Linked DNA regions of Bombyx mori. The protein of the gene in region 4 interacts with the protein of the main gene of each other region in a biochemical or structural test. Links are inferred from orthologs where the notes say so. Each region holds a gene or a part of one and is shown on either strand. Other genes may lie near its edges. The genes, in order: growth arrest and DNA damage-inducible protein GADD45 alpha, CREB, lymphokine-activated killer T-cell-originated protein kinase, Cdc2 and RpS3.

The links.
Region 1: the proteins of Cdc2 (region 4) and growth arrest and DNA damage-inducible protein GADD45 alpha form a complex in vitro, tested with the Homo sapiens proteins (5 studies listed by BioGRID). The link is inferred for Bombyx mori from reciprocal best matches to the Homo sapiens genes CDK1 and GADD45A.
Region 2: of the proteins of Cdc2 (region 4) and CREB, one has a biochemical effect on the other in vitro, tested with the Homo sapiens proteins (2 studies listed by BioGRID). The link is inferred for Bombyx mori from reciprocal best matches to the Homo sapiens genes CDK1 and CREB1.
Region 3: the proteins of Cdc2 (region 4) and lymphokine-activated killer T-cell-originated protein kinase form a complex in vitro, tested with the Homo sapiens proteins (2 studies listed by BioGRID and IntAct, with this or other methods). The link is inferred for Bombyx mori from reciprocal best matches to the Homo sapiens genes CDK1 and PBK.
Region 5: of the proteins of Cdc2 (region 4) and RpS3, one has a biochemical effect on the other in vitro, tested with the Homo sapiens proteins (2 studies listed by BioGRID, with this or other methods). The link is inferred for Bombyx mori from reciprocal best matches to the Homo sapiens genes CDK1 and RPS3.

The regions. Positions count from the first base shown.
Region 1 is NC_085134.1:418,472-422,030, reverse strand, and holds growth arrest and DNA damage-inducible protein GADD45 alpha, read left to right. Parts: upstream 1-1,241; 5' UTR 1,242-1,709; coding exon 1,710-1,771; intron 1,772-1,928; coding exon of another isoform or gene 1,929-1,976; exon of another isoform or gene 1,977-1,991; intron 1,992-2,047; coding exon 2,048-2,264; intron 2,265-2,476; coding exon 2,477-2,692; 3' UTR 2,693-3,056; downstream 3,057-3,559. Other genes in the region: electron transfer flavoprotein beta subunit lysine methyltransferase, read right to left, coding at 1,929-1,976. UniProt on the Homo sapiens protein: In T-cells, functions as a regulator of p38 MAPKs by inhibiting p88 phosphorylation and activity.
Region 2 is NC_085116.1:8,893,055-8,897,327, reverse strand, and holds the start of CREB (cAMP responsive element binding protein), read right to left. Parts: upstream 2,803-4,273; 5' UTR 2,744-2,802; intron 2,618-2,743; exon of another isoform or gene 2,505-2,617; 5' UTR 2,490-2,504; coding exon 2,337-2,489; intron 2,175-2,336; coding exon 2,025-2,174; intron 1,784-2,024; coding exon 1,618-1,783; intron 1-1,617.
Region 3 is NC_085116.1:697,792-701,919, forward strand, and holds the start of lymphokine-activated killer T-cell-originated protein kinase, read left to right. Parts: upstream 1-1,315; 5' UTR 1,316-1,431; coding exon 1,432-1,534; intron 1,535-1,609; coding exon 1,610-1,905; intron 1,906-2,516; coding exon 2,517-2,712; intron 2,713-2,910; coding exon 2,911-3,105; intron 3,106-3,488; coding exon 3,489-3,661; 3' UTR 3,662-4,128. UniProt on the Homo sapiens protein: Phosphorylates MAP kinase p38. Seems to be active only in mitosis. May also play a role in the activation of lymphoid cells.
Region 4 is NC_085122.1:10,047,226-10,051,355, forward strand, and holds the start of Cdc2 (cell division cycle 2), read right to left. Parts: upstream 2,813-4,130; 5' UTR 2,802-2,812; coding exon 2,653-2,801; intron 2,533-2,652; coding exon 2,388-2,532; intron 1,987-2,387; coding exon 1,852-1,986; intron 1,161-1,851; coding exon 1,051-1,160; intron 723-1,050; coding exon 609-722; intron 1-608. UniProt on the Homo sapiens protein: Plays a key role in the control of the eukaryotic cell cycle by modulating the centrosome cycle as well as mitotic onset; promotes G2-M transition via association with multiple interphase cyclins.
Region 5 is NC_085120.1:12,499,967-12,504,107, reverse strand, and holds the start of RpS3 (ribosomal protein S3), read left to right. Parts: upstream 1-1,329; 5' UTR 1,330-1,353; coding exon 1,354-1,386; intron 1,387-1,692; coding exon 1,693-1,996; intron 1,997-2,851; coding exon 2,852-3,072; intron 3,073-4,141. UniProt on the Homo sapiens protein: Component of the small ribosomal subunit. The ribosome is a large ribonucleoprotein complex responsible for the synthesis of proteins in the cell. Has endonuclease activity and plays a role in repair of damaged DNA.

The DNA.
Region 1 (3,559 bases), on a different chromosome or scaffold from region 4:
GAGTTTGTTTGTTTCTAACAGACGTGAAAAACAAACTCACTTTTGCATACAATTTGACTGCTTTGGATACACTAGAAATCATTTACGTTGCTGATGTCCATGGGCTCCGGTAACCACTTAACACTACGTGGGCCACGAGGTCATTGACCCTGCTAAGCAAAAAAATAAGAAAGAGTCGCTCTCACGTTCGACACTAACATCTCATGTGCTATAGAAAGTAAAAACTTCAAAAAAACACGGTTTTTTTAATTTACGTTTGAGGTAAAAAAATAAGTAGCTAATGATATACTCAAACTAACGTATTTATATGAATGTCTTCCTCCTCGCTCTGATGCAGGTAATGGAATTGTGGTGGAGACTATTAAAATACATCGACTTCTGAAGTTGGGTAGGTAGGTACAAGGATAGTAGTAACATTTTCACTGGACTTTTTGGCGGGAACGCGAGCAGTGAAGTTGTGTGATTTGTTTTATTTTGTCTATTTAGTGTTTCTTCAGGTTTAAATGTGTAATAACGGTGGTTTATTAAATGTTTAATATCTGTGAAAGTGCACCAATGTGGGAAAATGAAACAAAGCTGCTGGACGTAACTTCTCGGGTTCCTCCAAAAAGTCCACTGAAAAAATCTCAGTAAATGACCACCATTTTACTGCGATTATATTTCATCCCATATCATCTCATTTCATTAAATTTCATCCCAGTTGATTAATGTCTCAAATTAATCATCTTCATTTCATTTCACTCCATATTATCATTTTTCATAAAATTAAGAATATAAAGTAAAATAAGACATGACTTAAAGGTCTTAGTTACCAGGTCATAAAATCTCTTAAAAAAAAAAAAAACATTTTCACTACCTGCCCATAACTTCAAATAAATTCTATCCTGTCGTAACACTAGAAGAAATGCCCATTAGAAGTTTTCTCATCTTGCCGTCATGGCTCTACAATAAATATACTAAAGTCCTTGTACCTATTGAAAACGAATGTTTCATTACAAATAAAAAAACAACTAAACCAGAATCAAACCCAATTTTTGTTTTCAAATGAACCATATTTCCTCTGTTGAAATAAAAACCCAATGTAGCGGGAATTCCGATATTCTCCAATGCGCTTAACGATAACAAAAAATACCTTGACCTACCGTTCTGATAGTACCTACCCTTTTCTGGCCGCATTTACTTCAAAAAAGAAGAACGGGGTAGCTCCAACTAAATTGGTCCTTAAACAAGTCGCGACAAGCCACGCGTTCGCATTTCAGAAAAAACCACTCACACACACGTACCACGTGCCACGTATCATTATTATTATCTCGTATATACACTTACAGACTTACACTAGTTAAAACGACTCACACAACCGAAAATACAAGCGTTTTTCGAAGAAACTCCGACGAAACTGATCGGAGGATACGCACACATACAAATACTAGCGTGCGCATGCGCGGCCTTTCCAATAAAAGGGAACGCTACGTCACTTCTCCACATTCTACATTGAACATCCAAAGTGTACTAACGCGAGTTTCGTTAGCAAAGTTGTGAAATTATTGTGTCACAAGTTCGAATTACTGCGAGAAGTTCAAGTGTGTTTACATAATAGAAGGATTTTATGTAAAGTGTTAGTGCTTTCTGTGAAAATTCACATTCGGATTTCACTGCGGAGTTTGGAAATTAGTGAAATTCAAGAGTTAAGAAGCATTCGTCTATCCAAAATGTACAAGGAAGCAGTTGTTCCAGTAAAAGCCGAGACCTTCAGTGTCATAGCAGCTAAAAGGTAAATAAATATCTTAATACTTTACAGCTACAACAGGAAAAATTCAATATGCATAAACTAAAATGAATATTTCACAAGAATTTCACTTGACCTAGATCAAAGAACTTTAAAGTTCTAATAACTTCAAACATGCCAATTAGACTATAAATTGACGTACCTTATGCTTTTGATAATAATATTTTGTTTGTAGTATGGCGGTTAGCATCTCCGTTTGACATGCAAGAGACTAAAGTTTTTGGTAACATATAATTTATTAATGTATTTGTTTTCCCACAGCTCTATCGGACAATGTATCAAGACAGTGTTAAGGCGAGCCTGTGTCGAAAAAAGGTTAACTATTGGCTTACTTCCCGCCATTCAATACTTATCGAAGAACTGCAATGGTGCATTGTTTTGCCTGACCGCCGAAGCCCCGCCTGGCGATAGTGCAACGCATATGCAAGATGTCCTCCTGCAAGCATTTTGCGTTGAAAATGATATTCATGTTATTAAAGTGAGTTTCATTTTATTTCCTTCTTCATAAAATGAATTATACATAGTTATTATTAATTTTATATGACAATTTAGTTTCCACGAAGTAAAAAAAGTCATTAAAATTTCCGACTCTCTAACAAGAACCTATTAATCGAATTTATAACGATTCAAGGAATTAAGTTAAAAGGAATCAAAATAAAAAAGCTAACAAATTCGTTTCTTTGTACACAGGTCGATTGTGAGACTAAGCTGAGGAGAATGCTTGGTTACTGCTCTCCCATGGACTTCAGTTGCGTGCTGGTACACTATCCGTATACAGATCCATTCACAGACAGTCAAGAAATAGATTTATCAACATTATCTGAAGCCGAGAGACAGTTGATCGACCACTGCGAATCAGACTGGGGCTATTCACAAATGCCCGTCATCAAGTTGCCCGAGAAGTGAATTAAACATGAGGATATTATTGTGAAAAGAAAATTTTGCGATATTATTTTTCAAGTAGGTCGCCATTTTGGCTTAGGCACAACGCCATCTGTTGTTTGGTAGTTGCATTAAGTCTGCTTGAGAATGTTTTGGGGTTTGTTTTGAATTAAAATAATTTAAAAATTGATAGAGAGCAATTTGTAAAATGTAGGTGCTAAACTGCTACTGTCTTAAAATGTAAAAGTGTTTTTTTCATTGTTTCATAAGATAGTTTAATGTAACGAAAAATGTATTTATTATATCTTTATACCAATTTCGTAATAAATCTTTTGTAAAAGTTAAAACATAATAAACATGAATAAAATTTTATTTTATTTGTAACAAAGTTTCTTTTTTTCCCGCTTTTTCCCCTAAATATAATCTTAAGTTAAAAAGAAAAAGATTCCAGAAAGAAGCACAAGCAAGATAGATACCCATGATATTGAACTGTCAATAATATCAGGACAATAAATTTAGATAAACAATTTAAATAATTAATTTATGGTAGGAGCATCGTATAATGGAATTTTAATAAAAAATATGCTTAAGGTTCATCAGAAATTGAAATTTAGTATTTGCTGGAATTCTTGTATTTATCTATACTTCATAATATTACAAATCTGAAGTTTGTTTGTTTGAACACGCTAATCTCAGGAAATATTAATTGGTCCGATTTGAAAAATTATTTGTGTTAAAGATAACCCATTTATTGAGGAAGACGGCTATATAACATCTCTCTAAGACAAGTGGAGCACCAATAAAGAATGTTTCAAAATAGGGGTTTACATAGCTCCTTAACATTCTATAATTCAAAAATATTTTCACTTTCTATGTAAATGAAGTAGATGT
Region 2 (4,273 bases), on a different chromosome or scaffold from region 4:
TACTTATACAATGAAGATATTTTTATTTAGTATCAAGATATTATTTCGTTAATTATTTTTATTTTGAGAGCTAAATTGGTTAAATTTGTAAGTTGTATTAATGAACAAGATTTCCTACCAGAGTAATGTTTGAAAGTAAAAATTATTAAACTCAAATTATTCAAGTTTTATTTTTGGATACAAATGGAATGACATTAAATTTAAAGTTTTCAATTTATTGGTCTTTCAGGAGTTTTTTTTAAATTATTTCATTAATGACACAATAAAAGTGAAAAGTATCGTTGTCTAAATGGACTGACCGATTGCCCAACAATTGCAAAAGAAGAAACGGTTACAGCTTACTTCAAGCGTTTTGGTTAGCTTCACATTTAAAAACTTACTGAACAAAATTTGTAGATCATATATTATTTTTTATATACTGTACATACACATGTGTGGAAATTGACAAAGAGTATTAACGAAACTATTATATTTTACTTGTAATTGTATTTTTTTTATCTACATTAACAATTAATAGAGGTGCTAACTCCACTAATGAGTGAAGTTAAATCCTCACCTCACCTCCAAATTTAATGCATTAAGAATTTAGCCAGGCTCAAAATATATAATAATAAGAGAATTAGATTGTAATATATATAAAAAGCCTAATGATATCTTAAGTCAGAGAAATCAGTTTCGTCTTAAATACAAGAATTGGTATCTTTAAGCTACTGCCAGTAATTTCCACCACTTTAAGTAATATCTTGGAGCTCCACAGTGGGAGTGACTTGGTTCTGGCTTTGGTTTTTCTGATATCAATAAACAGCATATAAAACCCTCTTTAATTTTAAATTTGGAATACCATGAGCCCTCACATGGGTATCAGTATTGTACCTATTTCTAGTGAAAAATAATAATGTGTCCGGTTTGACCAAAGGTGGTCATTGTATTAATGCAAAATATTGAACATCATAATCCAATCTCATTCACATTGCAGTTTCTATGAGCTCCAGTTGTCGTTTTATAATATGTAGGCCTTGAGCAAAGTAATGTCAGCAGACAACCAAGGAGGTGGACTGACGATATGGTCAAAATAGCTAGTAAGTACTGGATGTAGATGGAGAAAGGCAAGAGACTGAAGGGAATTGAGTGCATGTGAAGAGAACTACACTCAGTATTAAGTGGACATGGGTTGAAAAAGAGGGGTTGTGGGCCCATCTTAGTATAGAAATATTACTACTAGCTTTTTCGGTGCTATGAAACATTAGTACTAGCGACAATTAACTGTGCCAATTTAGTAGCATATTGATTGATAATAACCAATTTTAATTAAAAATATTTAGTCATTGTGATCAAATTATGATTATTATTGAAAGACAAAATATGACATTGTTATCATAATTATTGCATCTTCATTACTACTGCAGTATTATTAACAGCAATACATTTGATAAATTAGTGCTTTTTCCATATTATTACATTGGTAGCTGATCCAATGACAAAAAATGTAATGATTGATTTAGGTGAATCAAGTTTGCATAATTTATTATTGAGCAGACTATTATTCGCACAATGCACAGCACTACATCTATCACAAGTCTTTATTATACACCAAAACAGTAAACATAGAAACTGTACCTGCAATTTCTGCTCCTCCAAGGTCATTTAAAATTTTTCGATAAGACGGACGTCTAGTCAACATTTCTCTATATTTACGTTTGGGACTTTCATCACCACTGCCACAGCTTTCATCACTACATGACTGACCTTGTGTATTCACAAGTGTATTAGGTTCTGGTTTTATCTAAAATAAGAAATAGGAATAAAAAAAATTTGAAACTTTTGTCTGTTTTAGATATTTAGTATGATTTTATGAAAATTTACAATTGAACCATACTCTAGTTATTGCTTATTTTGGTCATTAAATATGCTATAAAGTTTGATTTCAAAAAATGTTTTTATCCTAACCAAAAAATTAGGCAATGATGGCTTTCCTCAACACTATTGAGTGAATTACTGTAAAGATTAGAGAATATTTAATTTACCTGTAACGTTTGTAATGTCCCTTGCGTAGTGTGTATTACAGAACTGGGTTTACTAACAAGTATAACATTTCCCTTTGGTATCTGTACAGATTGGATATTGGATGCTGTTTGTATCACTGATTGTTGATTAGGTTGAATAACAGACTGCACCTGCAAAAAATTTAAATGATTTATATGTACTATCTAGTCTTAATATTTGTAAACAAAACAAACAGTTTACTGATATTATTGAAAAGGTCCCCTTTTAACTATAATATTAAAATTTTATATTAATTTGATTCACTCAACAATACATATAGATGGAATTCACACCTGTGCAGAGGGAGCCTGACTGGGTAGAGTAAGTTGTACTATACTGGTGACAACATGAGGAGTGGAACCCGGTGTCGAAGAGCTCGCGCTGGCCAGTGGATCCGTCGTGCCAGCACCGCCTGTGGTGCCGTTCTCTTCAACCATCCCTTCCATGCCAACTAAGGTCACCTAAAATTCAAGGTCAACTCTCTATGCATTCTTCATTACTAGGTTTTTATGCGTATTGCAAAACCAATTTGTTTAGCTTGGCTCTATCGTTGCAAGGTTGTTCACGGGATATCCTAAAACGGCATCATCACGTCATAGCCAAAACGCGGTATTTCTTAACAACGCGTTTCATGTAAATGACACAGATTATCTCTGTGTTTGGAACATTTTGAGTGATTTTATCATCATATGGAACATACATTATTTGCGATTCCAAATATATGCGACCGTGACAGGTCGCAAGTTTAGTCTTCACAAGCACTCACCAGTTACGTATTCCTCGTCACCGTCTATGCTGCGTCCGGAGTGGGTGAACGGGAAGGTACGTAGTAGCCACGTCAACTGCGAGAAGACTCGTCACTGGCGGAGACCTATGATCTTGTATGCGTCATCACAATATGGCCGAATTCTTTAACTGGATAGCGCATGCGTTAAAAATTCTCAATTTACAATAACTGTCAGTAATGGATGTTATAAACTTTGAAATTACAATAAAAAATTGTGTTCATAATATGTCTAGGTACATAATCATTGTTTTCGTTTTTTGATTATCATCACTTACACGACATTTATGCATGTTAAAAATATTGTACAAGAAAAAATATTTTTAACTGTCCATATTTTTTTAAATTTCGCAAACAACTTAGTCCATAAATAATCAATGAATTTTAAAATAAATAATGAACCAAAGAAAACACCATTTTGGAGTAACCAGTTATAGTGATTATATACTCTTTGGGAGTAACTTTCTGTGTTGAAGCAATTTTATACTCCCTAAATCCTATGTGGTATATGATGACGTCAGTCACGTGGCTGCATATGCAAGCTACTTTTGCCTACATTGTATCTTCTTATTGTGTCACATATTGCAAGTGTCACGACTTTTTCAATGTAACTGTCACAAAACAAAACTCAAAATCAAACATATTTTTTTTTTTTTTTTTTTTTTCCTTTATGGCAATAGTTTTAACTTTATGCCAGTTTCAAGTGAAAGGTAGGGAAACTACCCGCGACAAAGTCATCAAAAGGAAACAAAAGGATAAGCTAGTTAAAAACAAGACATGAAAAATAATTAATAAAAATAAATTAAATATATTAAATAATAAATAAACATATTAGAGATCTGAAGAGGAGGAAGTCTGCGGCTAAGACTAAGTATAAGTTGCGCCCAACCGAGTTTAACCGAACACGTTATGTTAAGATCAGAAATCGTTGCAATATGGTGTGTAGAGACGCTCAAAGACGTCACATTCATGATTCCGTTAAAGTTGAGGATCCAGCAAAAGTCTGGAAATTTCTAAGGTCATTAGGAGTTGGTAAATCTCGTCAAGAGTGTAATTCTACAAACATTAACATTGATCAGATGAACATTTTCTTTACTTCTTCGTCTTTATTAGATGACGTTGTTAAGTCATCTACCATTAATTCTCTTTCTAACATTACCGCTCCTGACCATTCTTCTTTTAAATTTCGTCAATTCACAGCTTGTGATGTTCGAAGGAGTATCCTTTCTATAGCGTCCAATGCTATCGGAACAGATAGTATAAGTCGTAATATGGTCATCCCATTAGTTGATATCCTGCTTCCTATTCTTTGCCACATCCTTAATTTTTCAATTTCCAACTGTGTGTTTCCTTCTGTTTGGAAAGAAGCACAGATAATACCTCTGCCAAAAAAACCTAACCCTAAATCCTTTTCCGACTATCGACCTATATCCATTCTTCCTTTCC
Region 3 (4,128 bases), on a different chromosome or scaffold from region 4:
TGTTCCACAAAACAGACAATTTCATCCAGTAAAATGCTTTCGAGAAGTCAAAAAAACAAACTTATGTTGAATAATCCCCCAAAGACTTAGTAAAAGACCGCATATGTCAAAAACTAGGCTACCCTTGGTATCCTATTAAATTATATTATATGGTGCCCCAAAAATAGCGCAAGACTTGAATTTGCCGCCATTGAAGATGCAGTAAATTTGTTGGCAGCTCTGAAAAAATAACATTTTGGTAGCTGAGAGTTTAATTTAATAATAATTATAAGATTTTAGAAGAAAATCATCATACGCCATAAATCATATTTTAACGTTCACCTCATGTGAGCTTTTCATTAATATTTGTATAAATTAAAAATTTAAGTTCGATTTCATCGAATAATTGATCGATTTAAGTTGATTGCGGTTGAACAATTTTTAAATTAATTTTCATTTAAATTTTAAATCATATCTACGATACGGCTTAACAGCACAGTATACAATAATTGTCATTCCTTTAAAATTCGAACTTTGACCCATAGATAATACACATAAATGCTTTGACCTTATATAAATGTAGTACTTTTTAAATGTAGGAATAAGTAAAAAAACGTTTCATTGATCCTGTCTGATCTTCAAAATAGTTTTGTATTTTGTCCTACAGTTACGATGGGCCGTACTGTGAGCAAGAGGTGCAAGCACAGTAAGACTATTAACTTCATTTTCTTTAATTAAAATTCATTTCTAAGCAGCAACGCACCTCCTAAAAAGCAACATAAGCTTTCGCTTGATTTTTTTTCTTGTTCGACAGTTTGATGCAACTTGGGGCTTAGAGTGACCGTGCTTCTCATTCTAGCCCAGCGCCGCATCTACTTACACCTGCCTGTCTTATCCATCTAATGTATAAAACTGTAATCAAATATTTTAATCGCAAGATTTACCGGCGATACTTTTTTTTAGAACAATAAAAAAAATCGAAATTGAAGAATAAGCTTACAATCGTTTGTTTAACGTAGAAGCAAATTTAAATCATTCGAGAAGCTTGGATAAAATACCTCTTTGGTGTCAAAATTGCATCTCGTTCTTGTAAGATTAATAAGTAGCCGGTAGAGGCATTTCTAACAGAACATTTTTTTAACTATGGCTTGAAATTTTTAAGTGACATAGTCCATAAATAAAATAAGGAGAAGCCAGCTAGGTCAGAAAGAATAGCTGTTGAATCGTAAAATAAATTGTTGTTCCTTCCTTTTTTCTAGGCTATTTGTGTAAGTCATCCTTCTGCTCGTTTTGTCATACTGTTGCTGTCAAAATTTGTAAATGTCAAGCTGTCAGAATGTCATAATTTTACCTACAATTTCAAATTTAAAAATTAAACCGTTGTTGTACTGTGGTGTCTTTTTCAAATTGGTGAAGTAAACATTTTAAAACTTAACCAAATTGAAATCAATCATGACCGAATTCCAAACGCCACAAAAGTCTATCAAATCTTTCGACAACGATAAAATAACTATACCACCATCACCGTTTTTAAATAAACTTGGTTATGGTACTGGTACGTAAACAATAAAACTTCAATAATTAATAATAGATTTACCTAGAATACTGTAAACTTCATTTTGTGTTTTAGGGGTGTCCGTTCTGCAATTAGTGAGGTCCCCGAGGGCAGGACTTATCCGATCACCGTGGGCTCTCAAAATGTTGAACAAACGAGTTAAACCAAATAAAGTATACACAGATCGACTGAAAACTGAGGCGGAACTGTTACAAAAAATGTCCCACCTTAACATAGTGGGTTTTAGGGCATTTAGTAAAGGCAAGATTCTATACTTGGGCATGGAAGCTTGTGATTTATCCTTGGGGGACTTGATCGAAAAAAGAGTAGATGATGATTGTACGCCCTTTTCACCAAGACAAATGTTGCAGGTAAACATTTAAAATTATTTAATCTACAGTCAAAGTTGTCTATTTTGATATTAAGAATGTTATTGTATTCTTTAAAAGTTCACAGTAATTTCATTATCCATGAGCTAAAAAGGTATTAGCAATGCTGCAATAGAATGATTTATATTTCAGAACTATTTTTCAGACCAGAAACTGAACAAAAATTAAATTAAAATTATATATTATAATGAGCAAAATTATAATTTGTGTAATTACTGATGGTAGGACCACAAGTGAGTGCACGGGTAGGTACCACCACCCCGCCTATTTCTGCCATAAAGCACTAAGTAATGCATTTCAGTTTGAAAGGTGGGGCAGCCATTGTAACTATACTAAGACCTTGGACTCATATCTTAAGGTGGCATTTATGTTGTAGACATATATGGGCTCTGGTAACCACTTAACACCAGGTGGGCTGTGAGCTCGTCCACCCAAATAAGCAATTAAAAAAATTATGTTCCAATCCCTTTATACAACTTATTGACTCTCAGCTTCCAAAAATGGTCTACAGTATACTTCTGTAGATTGTAAGATGACCAGTTACCTTGTTTTTACTTTTAATTATGTTTAGTCTCATTGGACCTTAATTTTAGGTGGCTGTAGACATCTCCAGTGCACTTGAATATCTTCATACGAAGATGCAAATTTTACATGGAGACATGAAATCTTACAACATATTAGTCAACGGTGATTTTGTGATATGTAAACTTTGTGACTTTGGAGTGACACTTCCTCTCGACGAAAATGGAATATTTGATAAGGAAAATGCTGGTGGAACTGTTTATTATGGTAATTTCTTTGACTAAATTATGTAGGTACCTATATAAGTTTTGTCTACAAGACAAACATTTTTTCAGTTCAGTAAAGATTCTACAAATTATTAAAATAAATTAGCGTAATTGAAAATCTACTTGATTTTGAATACAGAAGTAATACAATGTTTGATAACAAATAAATGTGTGACTAACAAAACACTATAAAACTCAGGTACAGAAGCATGGAGCGCACCTGAAGTAATTCACGGAGGGCAGATCAGTGACAAAACTGACATCTGGCCATTTGGTCTCACTCTGTGGGAGATGATGTCACTAATGCCACCTCACTCACAAATTGATGAGGACACCTTTGATATGAGCCTGGATGATCTTGACGAGAGTGGTTATGATTTCTCCGATCGATATGGTAAGCATACAAATGAATGTGCTAAAGTTAGATTGCTCTGAGTTGGATGTAAGGTTGTCCTAAAAATATTTATTTCAGTTTTTGTTTCTCATAATGATAATAAGTTAGTTGGATGATATATAGAAATAATTCGACCAATACAATGGCCAATATTTTAAAATATAAATTAGAATAAATACTGAATCAATTTTTGGAAAATCTATTTTATTTTCAAATTCTTTTCTTTTCTTCTACTTATTTTAAATTGATTTGAACACAATTTTTTTCTTATTATTTGTATACCATTCTCTACAGAAATAATTTCCCAATTAAAGATAATATAAAGACTTCTAAAAGAAGAAAATCATAATGTTTACTATTTTGATAATAAATTTGAATTACAGGCAGTCGTCCAGACGTCCCCGCCAACATATCGGAAGTAGAATACGCACAGCCGTTAACCCTGTTCTGCAGCTGTACTGAGAGCCGGCCGGCCGACCGCCCCCAGGCCGCGCAGCTCGCGGCGGCCGCCCGGGCCATGGCAGCGGCATTACTTCATAACACATCATGTCAATAGGTTTCTATAAGGAATTCACATTATCTTACCTGCTACATCTAACATGTAATTTAGAAATTTTGTGTATTTGAACTCATCGCGGCCTAAAGACAATAGAGAGAGAGAGAGAGAGAATACACTTTATTGCACACCAAAACACAATTTACATTCAAAAAAACAATCAAAAAACAGATAAATTTGTACAATAGGCGGTCTTATCGCTAAAAGCGATCTCTTCCAGACAACCGTATAATTTATAGAAATTCTGGAAAATATAAAAAAATATAGCAGGTATGTTGCGGTGTACTATAGTTAATACATTATAGAAAATATATACATATAATAACAAAATATATACCGTTTACATATAATATGAAATATATACTTATTATTATATACCAATATATATGCATGCAATAGGCATGATATCTCCACATAGTCTTCCAATGTGAAGACGGAACCACTCCATACTGACAGACCAGGGATAA
Region 4 (4,130 bases):
TAGTTTGTTTTATTTAAGCTAATATCAGGTATAAGCAAGGTCGCAAGAAAGTGGAGGTACATCCGGGAATGGAATGGATAAACAGAAGTTTTAGAGGCTAACAATATGTAAACTAGTCTTCTATTTCTTTCTACATACTTCAAAATTACATATTTATAATCATATTTACTGCCCTGTAAATGTAAGTCAAACATTTCATTATATTCATTCTTTTATTGGAAGGAAATCACTCAATCAAGTTGAAATAGTATTATTATAATTTAATTACCCCAACAACAGGTTTTTTTAAAATTTATTAACTGTTATATAAGTGTTGTTGTAGTAATTGCACACCCAAAAAAAACAACCAAAACTTGAATGTCCACATCATATTTTAGTTAGTGTTCAATCTGTGTTTTAATCCAAAACTAGAGTTTTATTCTAAGCACCAGTTACATTCCATTGTTGAAGGGAGCATAAAAAACTTTTTTTTTTCAATTATTGTTGTTAAGATTTAACTCTAATAAATCTAAGGCAGACAAGCATCACAGTAAGTGGTCACCGTTGCTCATGGACCTCAGAAATACATAGCCAAAGCCTACCACTAAAATGGCGAAATGCCTACTCACCTGAAAATGCGGAAGAGTTGATCAATTTCAGAGTCTCCTTGAAACAGTGGCTTCTTTGATGACATCTCAGAGAATATACAGCCAACTGACCATATATCAATTGGACAAGAGTATCTAAAAGTAAGACAAGTTACTATTATACAAAATAAATAATAAATAAATAAATAATCTACCAAATAATGAACTCCACACGGTCACTGACCATTCTTTTGTATTAAGAAACAATTAGTGGCAATGTATTGCCACACTATTCTATGAATTTACAATGCAACTTGCCATTTTTTAGAAAACAAAGTCTAAAGCTCTTAAAACAAAATGTTTTTTCTAAAATACATTTCATTATTGGGCCAAATTACAACTAATGTGTATTGATTACTCATTATAGAAAAGTTATATTGGAGTTTGTAGTGGCTGGTTTTGACTGATTTGGATAAGATTTTACCTTTGACTTCCTAGTAAGACCTCAGGAGCCCTGTACCACAATGTGACAACTTCATGTGTGTAGACCCGCACTGGAACACCGAATGCTCGACCAAGACCAAAATCTGCAACCTGTCACAAATTTATTAGGTATTTATGAAGAAAATAAAACTATATGACCATTGTCTAATGTCAGTGTTTGACTTTTCAAACTGGTAAAACTATATTTTGAACAAATATACTATGACATGGCCTTCACACACGTCATTTCGGATCCTCCCGATCCACTAACAGTACTTTTAGGTACCTCAAGCACCGATCATCGTTCTCGTCGAACCCGTCGCTTGCGACGAAGGGCTCGACGAGTAAATTAACCCTCAGACACAGCCCACTGAGTTTCTCGCCGGATCTTCTCAGTGGGTCGCGTTTCTGATCCAGTGGTAGATTCTGCGAAGCACGGCTCTTGCTAGGGTTCGTGTTAGCAACGTCATCAGGTTTGAGCCCCGTGAGCTCACCTATTAGTTAAGGTTACGCTGATATAGCCTCTCAAGGCTATCAGGTTAGGTAGAAAAAAAAGGCCTTCACATTGACCTATAGTAATAGCACTGACACTGTTCAGTCAGTATCAACACCAATATACATGGTCTATATAGCGTCCATAGTTTCATGTTACTGGTTTTGATTTACAACTTTTTTTAAAACGATAAAAAGGCTGTCAGTAGTCTAGAATTATCGAGAGGGTTCTTGCTGGTCCCAAGACTCACTGTTTAGCACTTTTTAATATCTTTTTGCAATTATTAATATCACCATAAAATACTCTCACTTTAATGATTCCAGTCTTGTCGATGAGTAGGTTCTGTGGTTTGAGATCTCGATGCAGGATCCGTCGTTGGTGACAGTACAAGATGGCATTGTTGATTTGATATAGATAGCTCTTAACTACAGATGGGTCCATGAACTGAAAATAAATAATGATAACCAATATTTTTACAAAAATTTACTCTGTTACAAAATTTAACATTAAGAATTACTTTGCCTTGTCTTGTGTGACTTATTTATTGCATTTATAGATGGCCCACCTGATGGTGAGTTGTATCTAGGTCTTGCGGAAATCAGCAATTCTAGAGGCAAATCCCAGCCATGGTCAACTGCTGACGCATTATCTCAGGAGACCTTCGCAGTTTATTTAAACAAAAAAGTTTTTTTTTTTCAGAAATAAAAACTCCAAAGATGCAACTAGTCCTAATTAACAATTTTTTATATTTTAAGCATTGTACTACAATTTATATGATTGTGGACACACTTCAAACAGGCGTCATAGTTTGTTGTAAAATTTAATTTAAGGCATGGTTATGTTACCTTTCCAGAACCAAGGGAGTCCATATATTTCTTCAAGTCCATAGAGAGGAATTCGAAGATTAAGTAAAGTCGCGACTCTTCCATCAGGACATCCTCCAACTTGACAATATTAGGGTGGTTCAGTTCTTTAAGTAGAGATATTTCTCTGAAATGTTTTCAAGAAGTTCTGGTTAATATAGGTTATGTTCTCAAATGCATGAGAATGTGTTTTTAATTAATATAATTGTTTTTGTGCAAGTAATTCATTCAATTTTACGTCGTTTACCTTATTGCCGTGGATGGTATGCCTTCGTCTTCGGACTCCAAGCGAATTTTTTTCATGGCTACAAATTGACCAGTTATTTTGTTTTTTCCTTTGTAAACGACACCGTAAGTACCTTCGCCGATCTTTTCTATCTTTAAGAAATCATCCATCTTGTAGTAAGGAATTTTGGCGGTTTTATGCAGACCACAACAAAAAAATCACAACACCATGCAATTTTTCTTACTCCTACAAAATGCGTGTTTTAATAATTTTTATGTGTTTTAAATTCATAAATGTCTCAACATTTGACTGTAATCCTTAATTCAAGTCACTTCTGTTCTTTTTAGGAAATATTTTAAATGTTTTACTATTTTACAATCTCTAACGTTTATCCCTTCAACGTCTTTCAAACGAAAACTTTTTGAAAATTTTCGAAGTGGACTATTTATGTCAATTTATGTGTCTATGCTTTGTTTATGACTAACTTGTTTCAGAGTTAAATAACGCTTAGAATAGCATAAATGTGCTACTTCAATAGACAAAATTGTTGTTGCTAGAATGAGATAGTACTAGAACACTAAAAATGCATATCAAAAAGCTTGATGTTTTATGAATGGTATCGGAACACATTATCATAGACAAACAAAGAGAGATTAATTTGAAAAGCAAGACGTACATACATACGTTGTAAGCATTAGTCTATTTTAAATAATGCAAACTGAATCATTTCAAAGTAAAATATAAATATTAGTTTAATTAATTTATTTATTTTGTTAAGAGTTACACAGGAAAGCAACGATACATTATTTTTACAGTAGTTTTCGTCGTGCAACACTAGAAATGAATCTGTTGGTACCCTAATGTGTGGAAAACAAAGCTTAACTAAATATAACTGTTTATGGTTTTCAATCTGATTTAAGGTCATAAATAGTCACAATCGATCTTTTTTTCGAGGCATCACATTAGGCTTAGATTTTTTTTGCTATAGCTTGTTTTATATCCGCGATAAACGCGTTTTTTTCTCATTTCTCTCATTTTAAGACCTCAAACGTGTTTTATGTTTTTATTGGATCGCATAACATTTTATATCTTAACTAGGTAGTCTGATTTCAAAATATCCAATAATCGTTGCTCGATATCCGTGTTTCATTCATATCCGCCATTATTGTAGCGACAGTCTGTACTTTAAAGTAATAAATGAGAATCTTTTATTGTTTTGAATTCTAAAAATGCTAGTCGTATAATTGTTTTAGGTACCTACAAATTTGAACCGATTTTGGTATTTCCAGACTGATATCGGATTTAATTTTATTCGATTCCCGATCGCGACTGCTTTTATTAAAATGCCGTCTGATTTAACCCTTAAAGTTTAAGGGTTAAGGTAAAATAAGGTCCAAGATTTCGGCCAGAGAGAGGTAATGAGAGCAATTCATCATACTCAAATTCTACAGATAATTTAATCTGTTTCTCAATTGAACTCTATGTAAACTTTTGCCCTT
Region 5 (4,141 bases), on a different chromosome or scaffold from region 4:
TTTTGCCAGCCATTAACAGTTCACGGACGTTCCATGTTCCAATGCAATGTTCGTTACGAAGTGGTGGTTGCTCGATTTTCGTGTTCTTCTTCGCCTAGAATTACTTGTTATGGGGCCTGGCGTAGAACCCCGGTAGAAGCTTTGGAAACATATTTTAAACCGGCCGGCCCGGGTACCGGATGGTGCCGTATGTCAGTCGGATCGTCCGACGTAATTTATTTGATAGTTTTATTACAGATTCACATTTAATTTGAATTTTCGGGTGCTGCCTTTAGTTAACATTAATTATTCACAAAATATAAATTTAACCAACGACAGCTGTTAGTTTATACTTGTATATACTTGTTGTTGTCACAGTCGACTCCACACGTCCTTACGGATCCATCGGGCAGCTGTTAGCAAATCCCGCGCCTCCGTGAAACTTGAAAGGTCTCGGAGCCACAAGTAATCCTGCAGTCCTAAAAAAAGATTTAGCATGAATTTTCCAACCGGCTGCCAGCCTGGCGTCAATCCTCCTTGGGCTATATATTATTATATATATTAAAATATCCATTTAACCATTGCAAAGTGCCTTAGATGCTGTAGGAACGGACTTTTACGGTTTCTTTTTTTGTTTTTCCTTTTACTTCATCCGTTTTTTGTTCTAATGATACTTATTCAATATTATATTATATTATAATTTTCCAATACCAAAAGTTTAAAATATCTATATATCACAACTCAAATAAAACAAATACTTACTTGTATATCATCGTTGTTTCTTCTATCAATAAATATGGAAATGTGGCAGTAGCCATCATAGAACACAAAATATTTGATAGATATCTGAATTTCGCTATTGACATTTTGAATACATGCTTGCATTTAAATTAAACAAGCACCAAACAACAACATTAGGACAGTTGGAAAACCAAGCAATTTCACCCAGTTGTAAGTTGTAACTATACTGAGAACTTATATCTCAAGGTGGGTGGCACACTTACGTTGTACATGTCTATGGCCTCCAGTAACCACTTACCACCAGGTGGGCTTTAAGCTCGTTCACCCAACTAAGGAATAAAAAAATAATAAAAAAAACATTGCAACTTCAATCCTGTTTAAAAAACATGTGAAGAGTATTTGCTGCGCTATTGTATAACAAATCGCCTATCTAGTGAAACTAAAGTTAACCTAGTTTGAAAATCAACCAATAAATCGACTAAACCCACATTGTTATTTCATTTTGCATGTTTTATAACAAATTGAGTGTAGACTTAAAAACGATTACAGTTGACAGTTGACATTACTTGACATTGACGTTCTTGTTGTCATCAGCCATCGCCGTCCCTCTTTTTCTCGGCTCCCGTTGCAATCATGGCCGTGAACAATATTTCAAAGAAGCGAAAAGTACGTTTTATTTAGTGTTATACGCTGCAAAATATTTAGTTAAATTTATTTTTAAATACTCAACTGATTTACCAGTTCAGAAAATTCGTTTATTTAGCAAGTGTAATTTGTGATGTTAGTGGATATTTTCAGTTGTGATCAGCGGTGAAATAGTTTTCATCATTTTTTACACTAACATAGTTTTCTTCAGTGATTTTGGAGCCTTCTACATCACAAACAAATATCTCGATTTCATACAATGAACGAAGATAATATTCAAAAGCAGGAGCGACGTGCTAAAAACATAACCTCTTGATGTTTTTTCAGTTTGTTGGAGATGGAGTTTTCAAGGCGGAACTCAATGAGTTCCTCACTAGGGAGCTGGCCGAGGACGGCTACTCCGGCGTGGAAGTCCGGGTCACTCCCATCCGCTCGGAGATCATTATTATGGCCACCAGGACACAAAGTGTGCTCGGAGAGAAAGGACGCAGAATCCGTGAGCTGACTTCCGTAGTACAGAAGCGATTCAACATTCCAGAGCAATCTGTAGAATTGTATGCTGAAAAGGTGGCTACTCGTGGTCTTTGCGCTATCGCCCAGGCCGAATCTCTAAGATACAAGCTTATCGGAGGTTAGTATGTCTACATGGTTAAACTTGCATGAAAAGCACAGAAAAATTCTTTAACACACCAATTAATAAAAATAACATGTGTGGCTTATTTACAGATACTAAACCAAACATTAAATATCTATGTGTATGTATGCCCCACACCTGACACTTCAATTCAGAATAAGTTGATGTGTTTTTCGTTGAGGCTATATTAACATCCTCATATCATAATTGCATCAGCCTATTGCTATATGCTTGCATGTTATGCTGGTAACATTTAAATCTGAAAATAATTGTATAAAATGCATACTCATTTTAGAATCATTTGAAACAATTCATTCATCTAATTGTGCATAAATAATCCTATAACTATGCTCATGACATACATGATTCACAAAAAAAAACTTTCCTATTCATTAATTTTAAATGTAAATTGTTATGATGTGTAATCAAAAAGTCTATACCCAGCCTCTGCACAAGACACACTACTAATGGCTATTGTGTATATTAATTTTATTAAAAAATCTCATAATTATAGAATTGTAATAAATTAGCCACAAAGTTTGTGGAAGTCGATTGGCAATGTGTTGTTACACACATATGGCATTTAAAAATTGCTACCTGTCTGAAGAATATTCAAACTAAAACACCTTCAAGTCACATTGCATGCAAAAACTGCTTAGAAGCACCGGATCCTAACGTACAATAATGTAAATTAATCTCAAATTCTTTAGTTTTTAGAAAGATTACTCTTTACTCCTTATGTATGTTTTCAAGAATAGTTTCAATAATTTGTATTTATCATTCATGTATTTATCGTTTATTTCGATGCTGTATTTATCTTTATAAAAATTGTAATATCTACTGTAATCTCAGGTCTCGCTGTACGTCGTGCTTGCTATGGTGTTCTCCGTTTCATCATGGAATCTGGCGCCCGTGGTTGTGAAGTTGTTGTATCTGGCAAGCTGCGTGGTCAACGTGCCAAATCAATGAAGTTTGTAGATGGACTCATGATCCACTCTGGAGACCCTTGCAATGACTACGTCAACACTGCTACCAGACATGTGCTTCTCAGGCAAGGAGTACTAGGAATCAAGGTGAGAAACAGCTTACTGTTAATAAATTAAAATTTTGATAAATTTTCAATTATACCCTGTAAGATTAACCTAATCTACCATTTGTATAAACTGCTACAAATAAATAGAGTGAAGCCTGGTATAAAACCAAAAGGGTTGAAAATAAAAGTATAAGGTGTGTGTCTGAGATAGTATTATAAACTTCACCAAAGTCACCAATGTATGTTATTATGGTATTTGTTACCGTAGGTATCACTATGGTATTTGTTGAATTTAACTACCTTCGTAATTAACGTAGGCTAGACTCAACTAGGCTAAATTAAAATAGTATAATTGAGTCGTCTATTATCAAAGGTGGCAATCTGTGCATTTGGACAAAAAAATATTTTGATATGTCAATACAGATTGATTTGAATATAATCGTCTCCTTCAAAGAATACGGTTCAAAACCTGCATTAAATAAAGGTTAATAGTTAACCTGTTATTTATCTAAGATGTCGTTCCGAAGAGTTTTGTGACTGCCAATGGAATACAAAGTCAATAATTCGTTTTTCTGATTTACCAATATTGTTCAAAAGTCAGATTGCCGGCTTTGATAATAGACGACTCAATTACTGTTTTATTCCTGTTTAAATATTCATTTACAAAATTACTTCATCATAATGAAATATTTCTTCACACTAACTTCACCACTAGATTTCACTATAAAGGGACATTTTAAGAAACTCCTTTCAAAGCATCCTAAAAAGTCTAATGCACTTGAATAGTAATAGTCAAGGGTTTTATCTTTGAACTCAGCCATAGAGTTTTGTAATAAATACATCTTCGAATCTCAAAAATCTATCCTAGTTTAGTCTTAAATTAATAATCCACGCAATCAGGGATTGCAAGCACTCTCAGTGGCTTTTGATCTAATTTGCAGTGGAAGAGTATTCTGGCTTGTTTATTGAAGGGTCTTTTATATATTGGCTCTGTTACGGTGCAAACCAAACAATTTTAATGTCCACAGCTCTCAAACACTCAAGAAAACACTATTCTGATTATTAAACGTACCACCATCATAAAAATAGCTATTTTACTTTAAATTAGC